3 linked regions of the Oryctolagus cuniculus genome follow. The protein of the gene in region 3 interacts with the protein of the main gene of each other region in a pairwise test. Links are inferred from orthologs where the notes say so. Each region holds a gene or a part of one and is shown on either strand. Other genes may lie near its edges.

Evidence for each region. The genes of interacting proteins can lie anywhere in the genome.
Region 1: the proteins of CREB3 (region 3) and DRAM1 interact in a two-hybrid assay, tested with the Homo sapiens proteins (2 studies listed by BioGRID and IntAct). The two-hybrid records come from large-scale screens. The link is inferred for Oryctolagus cuniculus from reciprocal best matches to the Homo sapiens genes CREB3 and DRAM1.
Region 2: the proteins of CREB3 (region 3) and TMEM234 interact in a two-hybrid assay, tested with the Homo sapiens proteins (2 studies listed by BioGRID and IntAct). The two-hybrid records come from large-scale screens. The link is inferred for Oryctolagus cuniculus from reciprocal best matches to the Homo sapiens genes CREB3 and TMEM234.

The regions. Positions count from the first base shown.
Region 1 is NC_091442.1:104,885,545-104,891,199, forward strand, and holds the end of DRAM1 (DNA damage-regulated autophagy modulator protein 1), read left to right. Parts: intron 1-1,608; coding exon 1,609-1,701; intron 1,702-2,274; coding exon 2,275-2,319; 3' UTR 2,320-4,446; downstream 4,447-5,655. UniProt on the Homo sapiens protein: Lysosomal modulator of autophagy that plays a central role in p53/TP53-mediated apoptosis. Not involved in p73/TP73-mediated autophagy.
Region 2 is NC_091438.1:140,241,963-140,246,236, forward strand, and holds the end of TMEM234 (transmembrane protein 234), read left to right. Parts: intron 1-2,092; exon of another isoform or gene 2,093-2,105; coding exon 2,106-2,198; exon of another isoform or gene 2,199-2,228; intron 2,229-2,415; coding exon of another isoform or gene 2,416-2,477; coding exon 2,478-2,572; 3' UTR 2,573-3,065; downstream 3,066-4,274.
Region 3 is NC_091432.1:198,639,252-198,644,915, reverse strand, and holds the start of CREB3 (cyclic AMP-responsive element-binding protein 3), read right to left. Parts: upstream 3,845-5,664; coding exon 3,407-3,844; exon of another isoform or gene 3,403-3,406; intron 3,306-3,402; coding exon 3,168-3,305; intron 3,071-3,167; coding exon 2,923-3,070; intron 2,847-2,922; coding exon 2,779-2,846; intron 2,660-2,778; coding exon 2,570-2,659; intron 958-2,569; coding exon 851-957; intron 750-850; coding exon 681-749; intron 18-680; coding exon 1-17. UniProt on the Homo sapiens protein: Endoplasmic reticulum (ER)-bound sequence-specific transcription factor that directly binds DNA and activates transcription. Plays a role in the unfolded protein response (UPR), promoting cell survival versus ER stress-induced apoptotic cell death.

The sequences.
Region 1 (5,655 bases), on a different chromosome or scaffold from region 3:
CGCGGCTTTACCCGCTACACCAAAGCGCCGGCCCTGTGCCTATGTTTTTATAAGCTATCTTCATTGTCTAGGAATGATACGAGATAAGGCAGATTCCCTGCTGCTGGCACCAAAAAGGAAGCTATGCTGTTCTCTATGCTCTGTTGTAGGCTAGTCAGTTTCTCCCCAGTGTGACCTTGGATGAGAACAATGGCTGGATATGACCCGTCCATGGGGAGAGTGATGAGTGATGAATATGAGAGTGTGACCTGCCTTGATTATATCTTTTAGGTGAAAATGGGATCCACAAACTTGCTGTAGAACTGACCTGCAGTTCAGCATGTTTGTTTACTCATTCTTTGTCACCTGTTGCAGAGCAGAAAGAGGATGAGAAACAAATGAAGCCATTATTTGAAGTCAGAGGGGGTACACTGACAGTCCACAGTGAGCTAAAGTGAGCTAAAATGAGCTAAAGTCAGAATGCACTTGTGCATTTTTGACGTAGAATTTAAAAATGCTTTTAAATAAGTTTCCTGCATTATCAGATGAGTTCTCTCTCTCTCTCACATGCACACACGTAGGCTTTTTAAAAAACGCCCCTTTCAAAACAACACTGACGTTTTTATTTTTTCATTTGGTGAAAATAGAATTGAGTTGATGAGACATGGATTCCCCAAGTTCCCTCACTTTCAACAACTATCAGTTCCATTCATTTTAAAGAATTTTCTTGCCTTCCTAAGCAACTGAGTTTTGAATGCCTGGTTAAAGCCATTCAGATCCCTGGCTTCCATGTTCTGGTTCTCGTCCCTGAGAAGATACACAGTAAACCTGTGGAGCTCCTTGTTGGCATTTTCTGTGTTGCCATATCTGGCCTGTCACGTTGAGAGGAACTGTTTGCTGCACCAACACCTTCTGCAGTGACAGAGAACACAGGTGCTGGTGGGGGGTAGTCGCACACTGTGGGACATCTGCAGCATGAATGCAGCATGAATGTTCAGCATGCCCTTCAGTTTCTGAATTCCAGGTGAGGGGAGACCAAGCCATGCCCTTTATGGGAAGTTCTTTCTTTGGTTGAATCCTCAGTTGCTTCACATTCTCAGTTCTTTTGTGGTCCTTCTTCTGCTCTTTGAAGTTAAGTAGACTAAGTCTTAAAACCAGAGTGAGATTTCTCTTTGTCTCTCTCTCTCTGTCTATAACTCTACCTGTCAAAGAAAAAGAAAGAAAGAAAAAAGAAAAAAACCCAGAGTGAGAGCCAGAAAGAAATTCTAAAATAATGGAACTTTTGCTCTCAACAGGCAGAATCCTGACATGGATCTCCGTGGCTTTCCTTACTCGATGAGCGTTCTTCAAAGAGTTCACAGGAAAAAGGAATAGACAAGTTTATTTTGGTGCAAGCATTTTTGAAATCCATGCATACAAGGGGAAGGGAAGGCTTCAAATTTGATGAAAGATGCATATTATGAAAAAGTATGCATGGATTTCAGTTTTTCTTCATCTCAATAAATTAATCTTTTAATTCCATTTTCCATGAACATCTAAAAGTGCCCTTGATCGCCTCCAGGCTACACTTTACGTCTGCACTAGAATGAGTCCTTTAGGCTAAATTCTCTTTCTTTATCATTGCTTCAGGATTATGTATATCACGTGGTGAGTGCAATCTGTGAGTGGATGGTGGCCTTTGGTTTTATTTTCTACTTCCTAACATTCATCCAAGATTTCCAGGTAGGTATTTATTCACTCAAATATTATAAATTGTCAACAATTAGGATTAGTAAAAATTCACAGAAAATTCCTTGCACTTGAAAAAAATAAAGCACTTTCTTTTTACCCTTAATTTGTTTGGGGGGAAAAAAATGTGTGTTGTGCAACTTAGTTTATTAGCTTGTTCCCAAAGGAAAGTGTCTTGACAGCTTTGCCAACCAATGAAATTTTCATTTGTCCTCTGCCATTTGATGCTAATCGTCATGTGCCCTGGTTGTTTTCCTTCTGAGGAGGTCTCACTTACTAGTTCCAAATAATAGGAAATGTGTCTTTTAAAAGAATTGAAAAATGTTCCCAAAGCAGAGCAAAGGTGGGACTTACCAGATTTGGCCACAAGAAAAATCCTATGTTTTGAAACAAGGGAAATATTAACTGAAAGGATATAGGAAGCCAAGAAAATCCTTTAGGACCCACCTCAAGGTAGCACAAGGCACACAATGGGGTCATTTCTGTGGTGGTGCAAAGCTGTTAGAGAGGTCGTTGGCAGCTCTGGACTTGAACTTCTAAACCTTTTCCCCGCTTCCTTCCTAACAGAGTGTCACTCTAAAGATATCTACAGAAATCAACGGTGACGTTTGAAGAAAGAAGCGTACTGTCTCCCTCAGTGAATGTCACAGACAAGTTCTAGAAGTGGTGCAGACAGGCAGGGTTTCGATGCCGCTCTGAGGGGAAGGCAGCTGTGGCACGTGTGGGACTTGCACGTCATTAAGAATTCCCAGTAGTTATATTATTCCCAAAGGTACGTTTCCCTAGAGGGCACACATGACACTGGAGCAATGTTTTTATACTTTCCTAAGTAGACACTTTTTTATATGAACATATTTGTATACAGAAAAGATAAGATGTTACAGAAAATGGAGAGTTCTTATTTTTGTACAGATTTTACAGTTTTTTTGTGTGTGTGAGTGATTTGTGAAACTACACTAAATAAGGAGCCTAAGTAAAGTCAATTACTCATTTTTAAATTGCTTTTATAGAGAATGTACTGTATATTTTTATCATGAGAGCATTTATAAAATTCAGTTTCTAGAGGTGATACACCCAATCATACAGATTTATTAATGAGCTAACACTAAGCTACTCTGGTTTTTAGCTGAGCTAAGCAAAGTGCTTCTGTCGAGATGCCTTAATACCACTCACTATGCACATCCACTCTCAGTGAGCACAGGAGACGGCGTCTTGAAATTCTGCCTCTTCGTTTCTCCCTGCTCCCAGGGCTGCAGCCCTGACCCTCGATGCGAGTCGGCAGTGTGTAGTGGAGGTGATTCCAGGTGAGATGGATTCAGCAAGGCAGACTAGAAATTCTAAACCCCTCCTTCACTGTTACTGCTGTCAATTGACCCATCACGGCCTGACTCAGAAACTGCAGCTCACAGCTCCCGCTCATTCCACGCACATGTTGAAGAGAGCCTAGGTCCAGAGAGAGACAAGGAGAGAGGAGAGGGGCAGCCGGAGCTCATGGGAGCAGGGTGCTATTAATTTGCTGCTCCGTTGAGTGCCTGTGGCTGGATGTCCCACAGCACTGTAGGACGTGAGAGCTCGGCCCTTTGTGTTAAGCCCAACCTACAGGCTCCGCTTTGCACCCAAATCACCAGTGATAAGTGAAAAGCCAGTCATTCCGGAGGAGGAAGTAGCCCTCACAGTATTGGGTGTAGGGTTGGAAATCCAAGAGAAGGAACTCTCCTTATCAAACACTCCCCCAGATCACAACCCCGTGTCTGGCCCAGTGGGAGCAGTCCTTCCAGGTTAATGCCTAAGGTTCAACTGCCCATCTGGACGGCCTTGGAGGGTGTCTCGGGAGTCAGGAGCATGGGGAAGTGCCTTACTAACTGCTGAATGAGCAGAGGGGTGAGCCGGGACAGTGGTCAGCCACCTCGGCGATGACCCACTGCACCTCCCCTGAGCACTCAGCAGCAGCAAGGCGCTAACCGTTTCTGGGTCTGCTGTAACTTGTAAGGCTGCAGCTCCCCGTTGTAACACTGGGACTGCAAGACAGGGACCAAGACTATTAAGCTTTCATGTGTCCGTGGAGGAATGCCACATGCCTTCTTTGTGGAAGCTACAGTGGAGTGAGTCTACGGTTCTGTTTTGCTTTGAACAGGCTTCAGTGGTCAGCATTAAATGTCATCGTCACATTGCACTGCCCTTCATTCCCATATTTCTCCATGTCGTTAGACTGAAAGCTCCTTGGGGGCAGACTGAGTGCCTTAATCTTGTAACTCCAGCATTTAACACAGTGCCTGCCGGTGTCCCGCAGGGACTTAAAAATACCCATTCACCACATGCATGCATAGAAGAATAAACCTATGAGGGCAGTGCCGGGGTATTTGTAGTGCTACAGAGTGAGATTCACCATGGTTTACTAGCTTGATGATAAGCAGTCTGTGTCACCCAGTAATGTTGACCATTTTGCTTTGTGTACTGAACCTTTCAGTTGTTTGGGCCTCATGATTCTATGACAACTCTCTTCAGCCTGGACAAGTTATCACAGAGATTGTTACATGGGCTAGACCAAATGTTACACCTGACTTGGCAAACTGAGAAGGGCAAAAATCACTCAAGACAGTCACATTCTGCTGATTCCATGCAACTTCTAACGCTGGTCAAAATCACATTTTGGTATTTTTAGTTTCCATGAATTTGTATTTCCTTGGACCTCATGGATGGAAGAGTAAAATAAAATGGAATATTTCTTTATTTTAGTAATTTGTGTCTCTTTTAAATTATAAGATGTCGCCTGGGGGTTACTATAAATGTATGTGGCTGGGAGATTATATCAGATACACTTGGACTTTATAAAGGTATAATTTAAACCTTATATTTTCTTAATTCATGTAGCTCTGCATGGAGGCATGACAGGTTTATCTTTTGCAAGTTCTAAAACATGAGTCCCAGAAATTTCTATCAGTCAAGACCCTTAGAATTAAAGGCATCAAGAAACCCAGCTGTGCTGAAGGAGAAAGGGGCGTCTGCATTGACTCAAGTGGGAAATCACAAGTGGAGCTGGCTTTAGGGATCCCTGGATCAAAAAGTGTCCCCGGGACTCCACCGTACTCTCCTCTAGGCTCTGCTCTCCTCTCAGATGCCACCATTCTCAAGCAGGCTGTCCCCTGGTGGGAGTGGGAGGGCTTCTGGAATGTTCCAGGCCACAATCTATTCTGTGGAAAGAGAGGGTTTCACAATGAATTGAAATTCACTGTCCGATTGGTTGGCTTGAATCACATGCCCAAGGAGAAAGGATGCTCTGATTGGTCAGACCTGTGTCACATGTCCACTTCTGGAGCAAGAAGGGGTCAACACCACTGAGACTACTGGGTTGATGGAAGGTGAAAGTTAGTTTACGGAAGAAAGGGCTCTGAAAAGGAGCTTGGACTGACAAAAAGCACAATCCACCGAGGAATGAATCCTCCCCTCCCTCCCCCAGAATAAATTAATGACACTTGCTCACAACCTTTTCAGATTGAAAAAAATGGGGGAAAAGTAAATGTAAGCTGTTTAGATAATACAGGTGCTGTCTTCTAACTTCAAAATTAAGTTTATGTTTTCCAAGACTCTTGTGTTCTTATTTAACCCCCATGGGGTGCATCAGACAGTTAATTATCACGTTTTTCTCCATTGCACTGAGAGCTTCAGTGACCTGCAAGTAGTTCTACACAGGGCAACAGATTCCAATCTGGGATTCTGGTTTCCTGCTTCCTAATCAAATGGCCCTCCTCCCCTCCTCACCCCTCCTCTCTTCTCTTCTCTCCTCTCCTCTTCTTTTTTTTTTTTTTTTTTTTTTAACACTAACATAGAGGATCCCACAGAAATTGCAAACTGCATTTCATAAACCAAATTAAGTACATCAGTGTTGTGCTGTGTTTGGGTTTCCTAACATCCCTTACATGTGGCATTGTCCCATGTTCCCATTCTTTT
Region 2 (4,274 bases), on a different chromosome or scaffold from region 3:
TAGCCCACTACACCATAGCGCTGGCTCCATTACCTTGTGTTTTGCTTTGCCAATATCCATTTTTTTAAAAAAGATTTATTTATTTGAAAGAGAGAGGTAGCAACAGAGAGAGAGAGAAAGGTCTTCCATCCGCTGATTTACTCTCCAAATGGCCAGAATGGCTGGAACTTGAGCCTATCCGAAGCCAGGAGCCAGGAGCTTTTTCCAGGTCTCCCACGTAGGTGCAGGAGCCCAAGGACTTGGGCCATCCTCTACTGCTTTCCCAGGTGCATTAGCAGGGAGCTGGATCAGAAGTGGAGCAGCCAAGACTCAAACCAGTGCCCATATGGGATGCTGGCTCTGTAGGCTGGGGCTTTAACCCTCTGTGCCACTGCACCGGCCCCACCAATATCCATCTAATTTAGTAAGGGCACAGGCTTTCGAGTCAGGCAGACCTTGGTTTAAACCCTCAATTTGGCACAGTGGTTAAGACAATGTTTGGGGGCCGGCGCCGTGGCTCATTTGGTTAATCTTCCACCTGTGGCATCCCATATGGGTGCCAGGTCCTAGTCTCGGTTGCTCCTCTTCCAGTCCAGCTCTTTGCTGTGGCCCGGGAAGGCAGTGGAGAATGGCCCCAGTACTTGGGCCCCTGTACGCATGGGAGACTAGGAGGGAGCACCTGGCTCGCTCCTGGCTTCGGATCAGCGCAGCGCGCTAGCCGTAGCAGCCATTTGGGAGGTGAACCAACAGAAGGAAAACCTTTCTCTCTGTCTCTCTCTCTCTCACTGTCTAACTCTGCCTGTCAAAGAAAAAAAAAATAAGTAAATAAATAAAAAAGAACTGGAACAGCCCAGACTTGAACTGGCGCCCATATGGGATGCCAGCACTGCAGGCAGAGGCTTAACCTTATATGTCACAGCACTGTCCCCCAAACATTGTCTGCACCATGCGGGTGCAGGACCCAAGCACCTGGGCCATCCTCCACTGCCTTCCCAAGCCACAGCAGAGAGCTGGACTAGAAGAGGAGCAACCGGGACAGAATCCGGTGCCCTGACCAGGACTAGAACCCAGAGTGCTGGCGCCTCAGGCGGAGGATTAGCCTAGTGAGCCGCGGCACCAGCCTGTTCCAGTTCTGATCCAGCTCCCTGTTAATGCATCTGGGAAAGCAGTGGAAAATGGCCCAAGTCCCTGGGCCACTGTGCCCAGGTGGGAGTCCTGGAAGATGCTCCTGGCTCCTGGCTTTGGCCTGGCCCATCCCTGGCCGTGGGGGCCATGTGGGGAGTGAACCAGTGGATCGAAGATCTCTCTCTGTATTTCTGCCTTTCAAATAAATTAATTAAAAAGAAAAAAGACACCACTTAGGACATCTGCATCCCATGTCAGAATGCCTGAATTTAAGTCCCACCTCCACTTCCAATTCCAGCTTCCTGCCTGGGAGGCAGATGATGGCTTAAGTGCTTGGGTCCCTGCCACCCATGTTGGGGACCCAGATTGGGTTCAAGGCTCTGGACTTCTGCCTGGCCTACCCCTGGTTGTTGCAAGTACTTGGGGAGTAAGCCAGCAGATGGAAAAAACTCTATCTCTGCTTTCCAAATAAATACATTTAAACCCTCAATTTGTCTATATTTGTGCGACTTCTTTGAGCCTTTCTTCCCTTTGGTGACAGTTCTCTCCTTGTGGTGTTGTGAGCAAGGTCACATGTGAAAATGACATGAGACGTACACAGAGCACTGTGCGTAGCCTGTGCTTTATCGACAGTAGCCGTGCTTGGCGCTGTTACACAGGTTCCACCGTGTCCTTTGGGCTGTAGGTGCCTTCGTATCTGTGTGCCTGTCTGTCTGTCTAGAAGATCTCAGTTCTCTCTGAATGCAGAGACCTCATTCTCACTGTCAAGCCAGGCTGGTCTCACACCCGAGCTCAGGGCTACGCTGGAATCCCGAGAATGCATGAACTGGGAGTCAGGAGGCCTGGGTTAGAGTCCTGAGCTCTGCTGTGACTTCCTCTGGCGCTGGGGTCAGGACGCCTTTCTGAAAGGTGTGCAGTGGCCACGAGGGTGAGATGAACGTGTTTGTGACGGGAAAGGCATTTCCTGCACCTCAGGGGCTCTCCTCACCTTGACCACCCAGACCTGACTCTCGCCGTGCCCATCTGTAACTCCCTGGCCATCGTCTTCACAATGATCGTCGGGAAGATCCTTGGAGAAGAAATTGGTGGCAAACGTAAGTCAGGCTGCTGCCCGGCCGTGACAACCCTGGGTGGTTCTGTCCCACGCCCATCTCCCAGGGGCTGGTGAGGAGAGGGCCTTCCGCCATCCTGCCCCTTTCCTCTGCACCTGTCCTGCTTCCTGGTGGTCATCACTTTCCTTCCCCTGGGCAGTCTGGGGACAGATGCTGGGGTGGAAATTGGGACAAGCCCTCATGTGAGCTCTCCCGCCAGCCCAGTATCAGCTCCCACTGGCATGGCTGAGCCGAGTCCCTGATTTCCGCCTGTTATCCCAGGAGCCATCGCCGGCATGGTGCTCACCGTGACGGGAATTACACTGTGCATCACAAGCTCAGTGACCAGGACCCACAGGCAGCCATCTGCTCTTTGACCCCCAGCAGCCCTGCTGTCTCCAGGGAGGCCCGGGTCACAAGGCGCAGGCCCTGAGCAGGGAGAGCTGGCACGTCCTCCCATCTCATGTGGAGAACAGCTACCTCATGATCATGTTAAGGACCACGAGCACACGGGAGACTCACACACCCTCAGCATCCTCTCGGCCCGAGCAGCTCTCTTCCTGCCGTCAGTGCCAGGGCCTTCTGTGAACTGTCACGGGGCAGAAGCCAAGGACGGCAGCACCCCCGCTGCAGTCTCTGAGCCGGAAGTGCAGACAGGAGGCCCCCAGGGGTCAGAGTCCCCACACATCAGGATGGCAGCAGAGATGAGCTGTCTGCCAGCCCCTCCCATCCCACCAGGTGGTGGCCAGGAATCCACCACTGTTAGCCCCTCTCCCGCCGGAGTCAGTGTGAGCCCAGCCTGCCCAGCCAGCACCCAGCACAACACCCGGTAGCAACAGCCTCCAATAAATCTGCAGTCAGCAGGGACTATTTACGTCTTCTTTTATTGTGGCAGACGCACTCCCACGTCTGGGGTCTGCCTCCCAAGCTGTTTGCTGCTCCTCTCTCTGGTCAGAGAATCGTGTAAGGACAGGGCTGCTCTGCTCAGGAAGGGGACTGGGCTGTGGGCCTGGGCGGGGAGGGCGGGCGGACAGGCCTCGGCCCCAGGGAGCAGGCTGTGGGAGGCGGAGGATGAAAGGTGGTGGTCCCCAGTTCTGTAGCCACCGGCTGTCATGGCAGAGCAGGGGCTGAGGCTGAGAGCCTCTCCAGCCCCAACCCCAGGCTGGCCGGCCAGGGACAGGTCCTCTTCCACCACCTCTGCTGCCTGCTGCAGGGGGTGGAGAGCCATGCAGAATGGAGCTATGATCTGTCCAGCCTCAGCCCGCAGTCCCCCAGCCCCCAGAGAAAAAAAAGACAAGAAATTAGGAACTGCTTTCACATCCACTAAGCCAGGAGCTGGACTCTGGCATGTCAGATCTGTTTACATCTGTCACAAGGCGAGAACTGTGCCCAGGGCCCAGGCTGCTGGTTTCCAGCTCAGAACTGCCCTGCCAGCACACTGCTTCCTGACCCCACAGCTCACCTGATCCAGGGGCTCCTCTGTCTGCGTGTTGTCATCCTCCGCCACTTCCTGGGCCTCTGCCGTCTCCCGCCTTGGATGGGGAGCCCCATACACTCCCTTAACTCCTAATAAGGGAGCAACACGGGCCGATGTCCAGGCTGAGGGGCCCTTGGCATTCTTGCCCTGGACTTTCCGCACCAGCCCCGTCCCTTCCCCTGGGGCTTGTGCACATGCCCCACTACCCCAGAGGAGAGTAGGGAAGTCCAAGGTGAAAGCCCCCACAGCCACCCCTTATAAATCCCGCCCCTGAAGTCTCCACTGCTTTGTGGTAAGCAGGGAATCCCTTTCCGTGTGCTCCCTGTCTTGTGACAAGTCCCTGTGAAGAAGCAAGGGACCCAGGTGGGGCACTAGGTCATGGCAGCCCCCACCGGCATTCCCAACAACAGTAGCGACCGTCCTGTCACTGTCCAGGGGCACCGGGGCCCAGCACCTGGTGGAAATGAGAGCGTGCAGAGCTTGCTTGGCTGAATGGCCGGCTGGGATCTGGCATAGAAAGCAGATGGCTCCATTCGGCTTGGTTCCTTTGGAGAGGGCGGGGTAGGCTGTGCCCGGTGACCATGGGCCTAGAGAAAGGACAC
Region 3 (5,664 bases):
GCTGATCGAGGAGGGACCTAGAGAAACGGGACGGTGTGAGCACTCCCAGGCTTGGCCCCGGGAGACGGCCTGGAACCCTCTTATAAAGCCCACTTCTCCCATCTGGTCACTGGAACTTCTCTTTTCATGCTACTTGACTTCCTGCTTTCATCCTAAATGACTTCTTTCTCTGTGGACAAAATGTCGTTAAGTTCCTCATTAAAACAAATCACAAAGCAAAACCAAAACTCACTCCCTGATTTAATCTCCTTTGTGAAGACCTTCAGTAGTTCCTGGTGACCCGATCAGCTCTGCACAGGCCCCTCACCAGGCACTCTCTGTGTCCTGTGTTCCTGGCCCATCTCACCTGAGCTGCTGCTCCAGCCAAATCCCAAGACAGGGCTTTCCCTGCCCAGCCCCATGCCCGAGCCCTAACAACACCACAACAAACACCACCTGCCTCAAGAGGTCTTCCTGACTTTCCGCTTCTCGTTCTTGGTATTTCTCACCGTTACCTGTACATCTATTCCCCAGTGCTGTGAGCATCCGGGAATCACACCCAGTAAAGCCCAAGCGCTGGGCCTTGCATGTGGGAGCTTCCCAGTAAGAACTCAAGAGTAGCGCAGGCCAGAGGGTGAGACAGTGCGGTAGTGAGGGGGATGGGCAGGGGAAGGGAGGGGTGGGTCCTGAGGGCTGCTCACAGATTCTGTTCCTCCAGGAGCTGCACTTTATGCTGGAGCTCCAGATTCTGGGCTGTGTATTTCGATACCCTGGGAGAAGAACAAGGCTGTGGGGACAGGCCCGAATCACCCCCTTCAAAGTCCCAACACCACCAACCACTGCTTCTGCCCCACCCAAGTCTTTTCCGTACCTGCTCTCTAAACCCCCCACGTACACCTTCTTCTTCCTGCGGCTCTCCTGAGCAGACTTTTTGTTTCGAATCTTCCGCCGCACTCGTTTCAGAACTTGTTCCTCCATCTGAGAGAAGACAGAGAAAGGGGTCTTGGGACCTTGGACTGAGGAGCTGGAAGACAAATGGGCTCGACCTTCTTGCCAACGCAGGAATCCCTTGTCTAGCCTCCCTAACCAGTAGCCATTTTGGTTTCCATCAGAATGCCTCTAAAGACCAGGTGTTAAGATCACAGGTGCCAGAGCATTTTTAACAATTTCATTCACTGAAAAATTTCTTACCCTGAATTAACATCTGCCTCCATGTAATTTCTATCCATTGAACTTATCTCTGGGGTCGTGTAGAACAAAATTCTACATAGCTGTTTTAAGGCTGTTGGCATTTCCTCAGAGTTTAAAAAAACACACACACAAAAAAACCCTGGACAGACTTCTTAACCCAACATTTCACCATCACTGCATCCTCTTGGTATCTGTCAAAGATACAGGCCCAAAACTGGGCACTTAAAATGCACTGTGATTTGTACAAAAGACAGCAAGACAGTCTTGCCTTTTTAGAGACAATGCATGTATTGACGCTGCTTCCACATCCCACTTGCTTTGCCATATCTCACTGCTGACTCATCTTGTACTTTTAAGAAGTTAAAATTTCTTTAATAAGTACTTATTTTATTACAGGGTCACAATACTGTGCTTGTGAAGTCACCACCCAGTGTTGAAACTTAAAACTTATGCTTCTACATTTGTACTGTTAGAAGGCTTAGTCCAGGCCGGCGCCGTGGCTCACTAGGCTAATCCTCCACCTTGCGGCGCCGGCACGCCGGGTTCTAGTCCCAGTCGGGGCGCCGGATTCTGTCCCGGTTGCCCCTCTTCCAGGCCAGCTCTCTGCTATGGCCTGCAGCTCTCTGCAGTGGAGGCTGGCCCAAGTGCTTGGGCCCTGCACCCCATGGGAGACCAGGAGAAGCACCTGGCTCCTGGCTTCAGATCAGCGCAGTGCACCAGCCCCAGCAGCCATTGGAGGGTGAACCAACAGCAAAAGGAAGACCTTTCTCTCTGTCTCTCTCTTTCACTGTCCATTCTGCCTGTCAAAAAAAAAAAAAAAAAAAAAAAGAAGGCTTAATCCAGCCTCATTGAACTCCCTAAAACAATTCTCCCATTCAGCGCGATGTAGATTACCACCAAGCCGATGAACTCCAAGTGGCAGAGCCCTTCCCTTGCACAGTCCTGCCCAAGGCCCTACGCTAATGTTGCATTGATAATTCTGAAATCTTTTTTCTTAGAACACCAAAATGTGTTAGAAGCCTCACAAAACCAGGATCCACCCTTGCATCTAGCATATTAACCAACAACTCTGCTAAGATGTTCACCTCTTAAGTGTATCTTATTTTTGACACTGATATTACACACATCTATAGGATACAGAGTGACATTTAAGTAATGTATACAATGTAAAAATAAGTAGGGCAGGGTAACTGGCACATGTATCACTGCAGACATTTATCATTTCTTTGAATCAGAAACTGAATATCCTCTCTGCTAGCTATTTTGAAATGCAGCTGCTACCAAGCATAACGTTAGAAGTGACTCCTATCTGACTGCATTCCGGTACAGGTCGACCAGCCTCTCTGCACTCTCCCTCCCCTACACCCTCCAGCCTTTGCCCCACCAATGGGAGCCTTACCTTGGTGAGAGGAAGCGTTCCAGGCAGAGTAAGCCCCTCCTTCTCCAGTAGCCTCTTCTCCTCCTCGGTCAGTACCAGCCTAGCAACCTCCTGAGGTTACGGGGAAGTAGGCAGCAGTTGCATGGGGATGTCCGAAAGAAATGGGAATTCCCGCCCCGCCCCGCCCCGTGCAATGTGGGGATAAGCCTCCTGAAAATCAAGTCAGCTACCTGCTCTGTTGGCTCCTCCACATACAGCGGAGTCATCGGAGCCTCCTCCTTCCCATAGCTCCCACTATCTGCAAAAGGGCAATTGTGACTAGCCGGGCCCACGGACCCTCTCCTCTAGCTCCCAACTTTTCTGATGTCACTCACCTACGTCCACGGAGACATGCTCCTGTGGGAGGGAGTAAGTGTGATCGTGGTGCACAGGCGAGGGCTCGCAGGAGCTGAGGTCGGCCAACGACGCCGGGGGACTCAGCAGGGTGCTCAGCAGATCCTCTGCCTCCCAGTCGCTCAGTACCTGCACCGGGTTCAAATTCCCAGGCCCTGGCCTGTCACTGACACCCGGGTCTCGCGGACGTGCCGCGCCTCCCTGACGCGGAGCCCTACCCACCCACCTCGGAAAGCGGCAGCTCCCAATCCGGGGGCGCCTCCACCGACTCATCGGCTGCCTCCCCCCATGCTCCGCTCTGCTCGAGCAGGAAGCCGAGCAGGTCCTGATCGCCAGGGTCCAACGCCAGCTCCATCTGCGACATCTACGGCAGAAACTCAAGGGTTCACTTCGCAGCCCGGTTCCAATACGCGAGCCCCAGGCACGACCCCCAGCCCAACCGCCGGGTCTCTCCCGCCTACCCACCGCTCCTCTTCGGCTGGCCTTCCCCGCTGCCGGGGCGGCAGTCGCTGTCAAGCCCGACCCACCCACCCGCCGGACTCCGTCGCCCTCGGCCTCCAACACAGCACAAGTGACGCACGCGGCCCCGCGGCCTCTCGGGACTTGTAGTTCCCTCCGAGCCGGAAGTGGCTCGGGTGCTGCGCCACGTCCCGGGGGCGATGCAAATGAGGGGGACGTCCCCGCCCCGGGGGCGGGGACACCGGCGACTCGCCTCCGCCTTCGCCCCGAGCTAGAAAAAAGGAAGAGTCCGAGTGTAACAGGGAACTCGGGCGCCGCTGGGGTGTTTTCTCCGGATTGCGCCGCGCCCTGGCTTCCTGCCGGGGAGGGGCTGCCAGTCTTCGGCGGGCTCGCGAGCATCGAGAGCTGGGGCCAGAGCAGCTTCCTGCAGGTCCCCAAAACCATAGAGCGCGGGCCCAGGGCGCCGCCCGGGGGTGGGGGACGCGCCGGGGACGGAAGTGGCCGAGTGTGGCGAAGGGAGGGCGAGGCCGGAGCCGGAGAGCGGGCCCGGAGGACGAGCAGGGCCGGCGGGCGGGGCGCAGAGCCGGGCAGCGCAGGTAGGCCGCGGCGGGCCGGGCCGGAACCTCGGGGTGGGGCCGCGAGGTCTGGCCCGGGAGGCGGGCGGGCGCGGCCCCTGACTGCGGCGCGTCTATGGCGGGTTCTGGGGGAGACGTCAGCTTCCAGGGTGTCTCGGCAGGCCGATCTGCGGGAGGTGGCTCCTCTGCGGGAGCAGTCCTTGGCCTGGAATAGGTTTTGGGGAAGGGTGAGGAGTGTGGCGGCCGCGGGGCGCAGGGCGGGGATGGGCTTTGGTGTTTGCTGATAGCGGGGATGTTGGGCTGGAGAGCTGTGGATGAGTCTGGGTTTAGGTGGGGTTGGGTTTGGGAATCAAGGGTCTCTTTAGGAGGTGTAAGGCCGGGGTTAACGCTTGAGTTATTGGCGTGATTTAGATCCGTTTTATAAATAAGTGAGGTTGAGGTTGAGGTCGTTATTTTGTTTCCTGGGATGACCAGAGGTAAGTCAGAGTTAAAAGAGTTCAGGGTCAGGTTAATGGTCAACAACAGGAATTAGGTTAGAAGTCCATTTTAAGGATCATAGGATATTGTCGTGGTCAGTTTTAAGGATAAACAGTGAAAAGGTGAGTTAGGAATCAAGTTACAGGTGAGCTAATTTAGACTTAGGGGTCAACATTTTGGGTTAAAGTCAGCAGATTTGGTGCTAACGGTAAAAATTAGTTGAGCCTTAGGGATCAAGGATTGGATGCTTGCTGGTCTCTGCTAGGAGGGGGATTCTATGAGAATGAGGAAACAAATTAGGGCACTAAGGGCAGACCCAGGCCAGGAATATTGACCTTGGGCAGATAACATTTAAGAGGTCGGCAATAGATCGATGCCTTTGGTGTGTGTGTGTGTGTGTGTGTGTGAGAGAAAGAGAGAGTGGGGGGGAGGGAAGTCCCCTCATTTTTATTTAGTCACAGGAGCTTCTTTCAGCCAGAGAGATGACACATTTTGGGTTGGGGTTCTGGACTTCAGGTAGAATTTCCTCGATTCCTCTCTAAGCTCAATGCTGTTGCTGTGGCCACCACAGTTACGGGGCAGGGATTGCTGGACTGTGTTCTGTATGAGATGGGAGGTGGGCAATGGCCAGGGACCCAGGCAGTGGGGACCACCCAGGGAGGAGGAGAGCAGTGGCTAAGGGGGAAGCCGACCAGGGGCCACCGTTGTGTGAGAGAAGGGGATGAATGAATCCCTCGGGACTTAGTCCCATTGCCTCCCACTCCCCTCCTTCCTTCGCTGTTAAGCCCCCTCTCTACCTCTCATCCCTAGCTCTGCATGTTGCATCCTTCCTGCACCCGCCCCTTTAGAAACTAGCTCCCTGCCTTTCATTCTTCCATGTTGTTCATCCCATTCTCAATTCAGCCTCCCTCCCTGCTTCTTAACCCACACCTCCTACTTGCCCAAATCTAAGCTCTCCCATTGTCTTAAAGCAGGGTCCCACCATTTTCACCCGTTCACACACCTGAGTGCTACTGGCTGCTGACGACCCCACCCCCAGCTCCTGCTGTGCGCCTCCTCTAATTTCTTGGTCCAGTTAAAGATCCCCTTCCCCCACTCCCCAACAGAAAAGAGGAAATGAGACCCAAAGAGGAAACTGGGTCTTGCTGATCCCACGCCTTGCCAGGCCATTGACCACACCCCCATTTCACTCCCACCCTGACCCTGCCACTG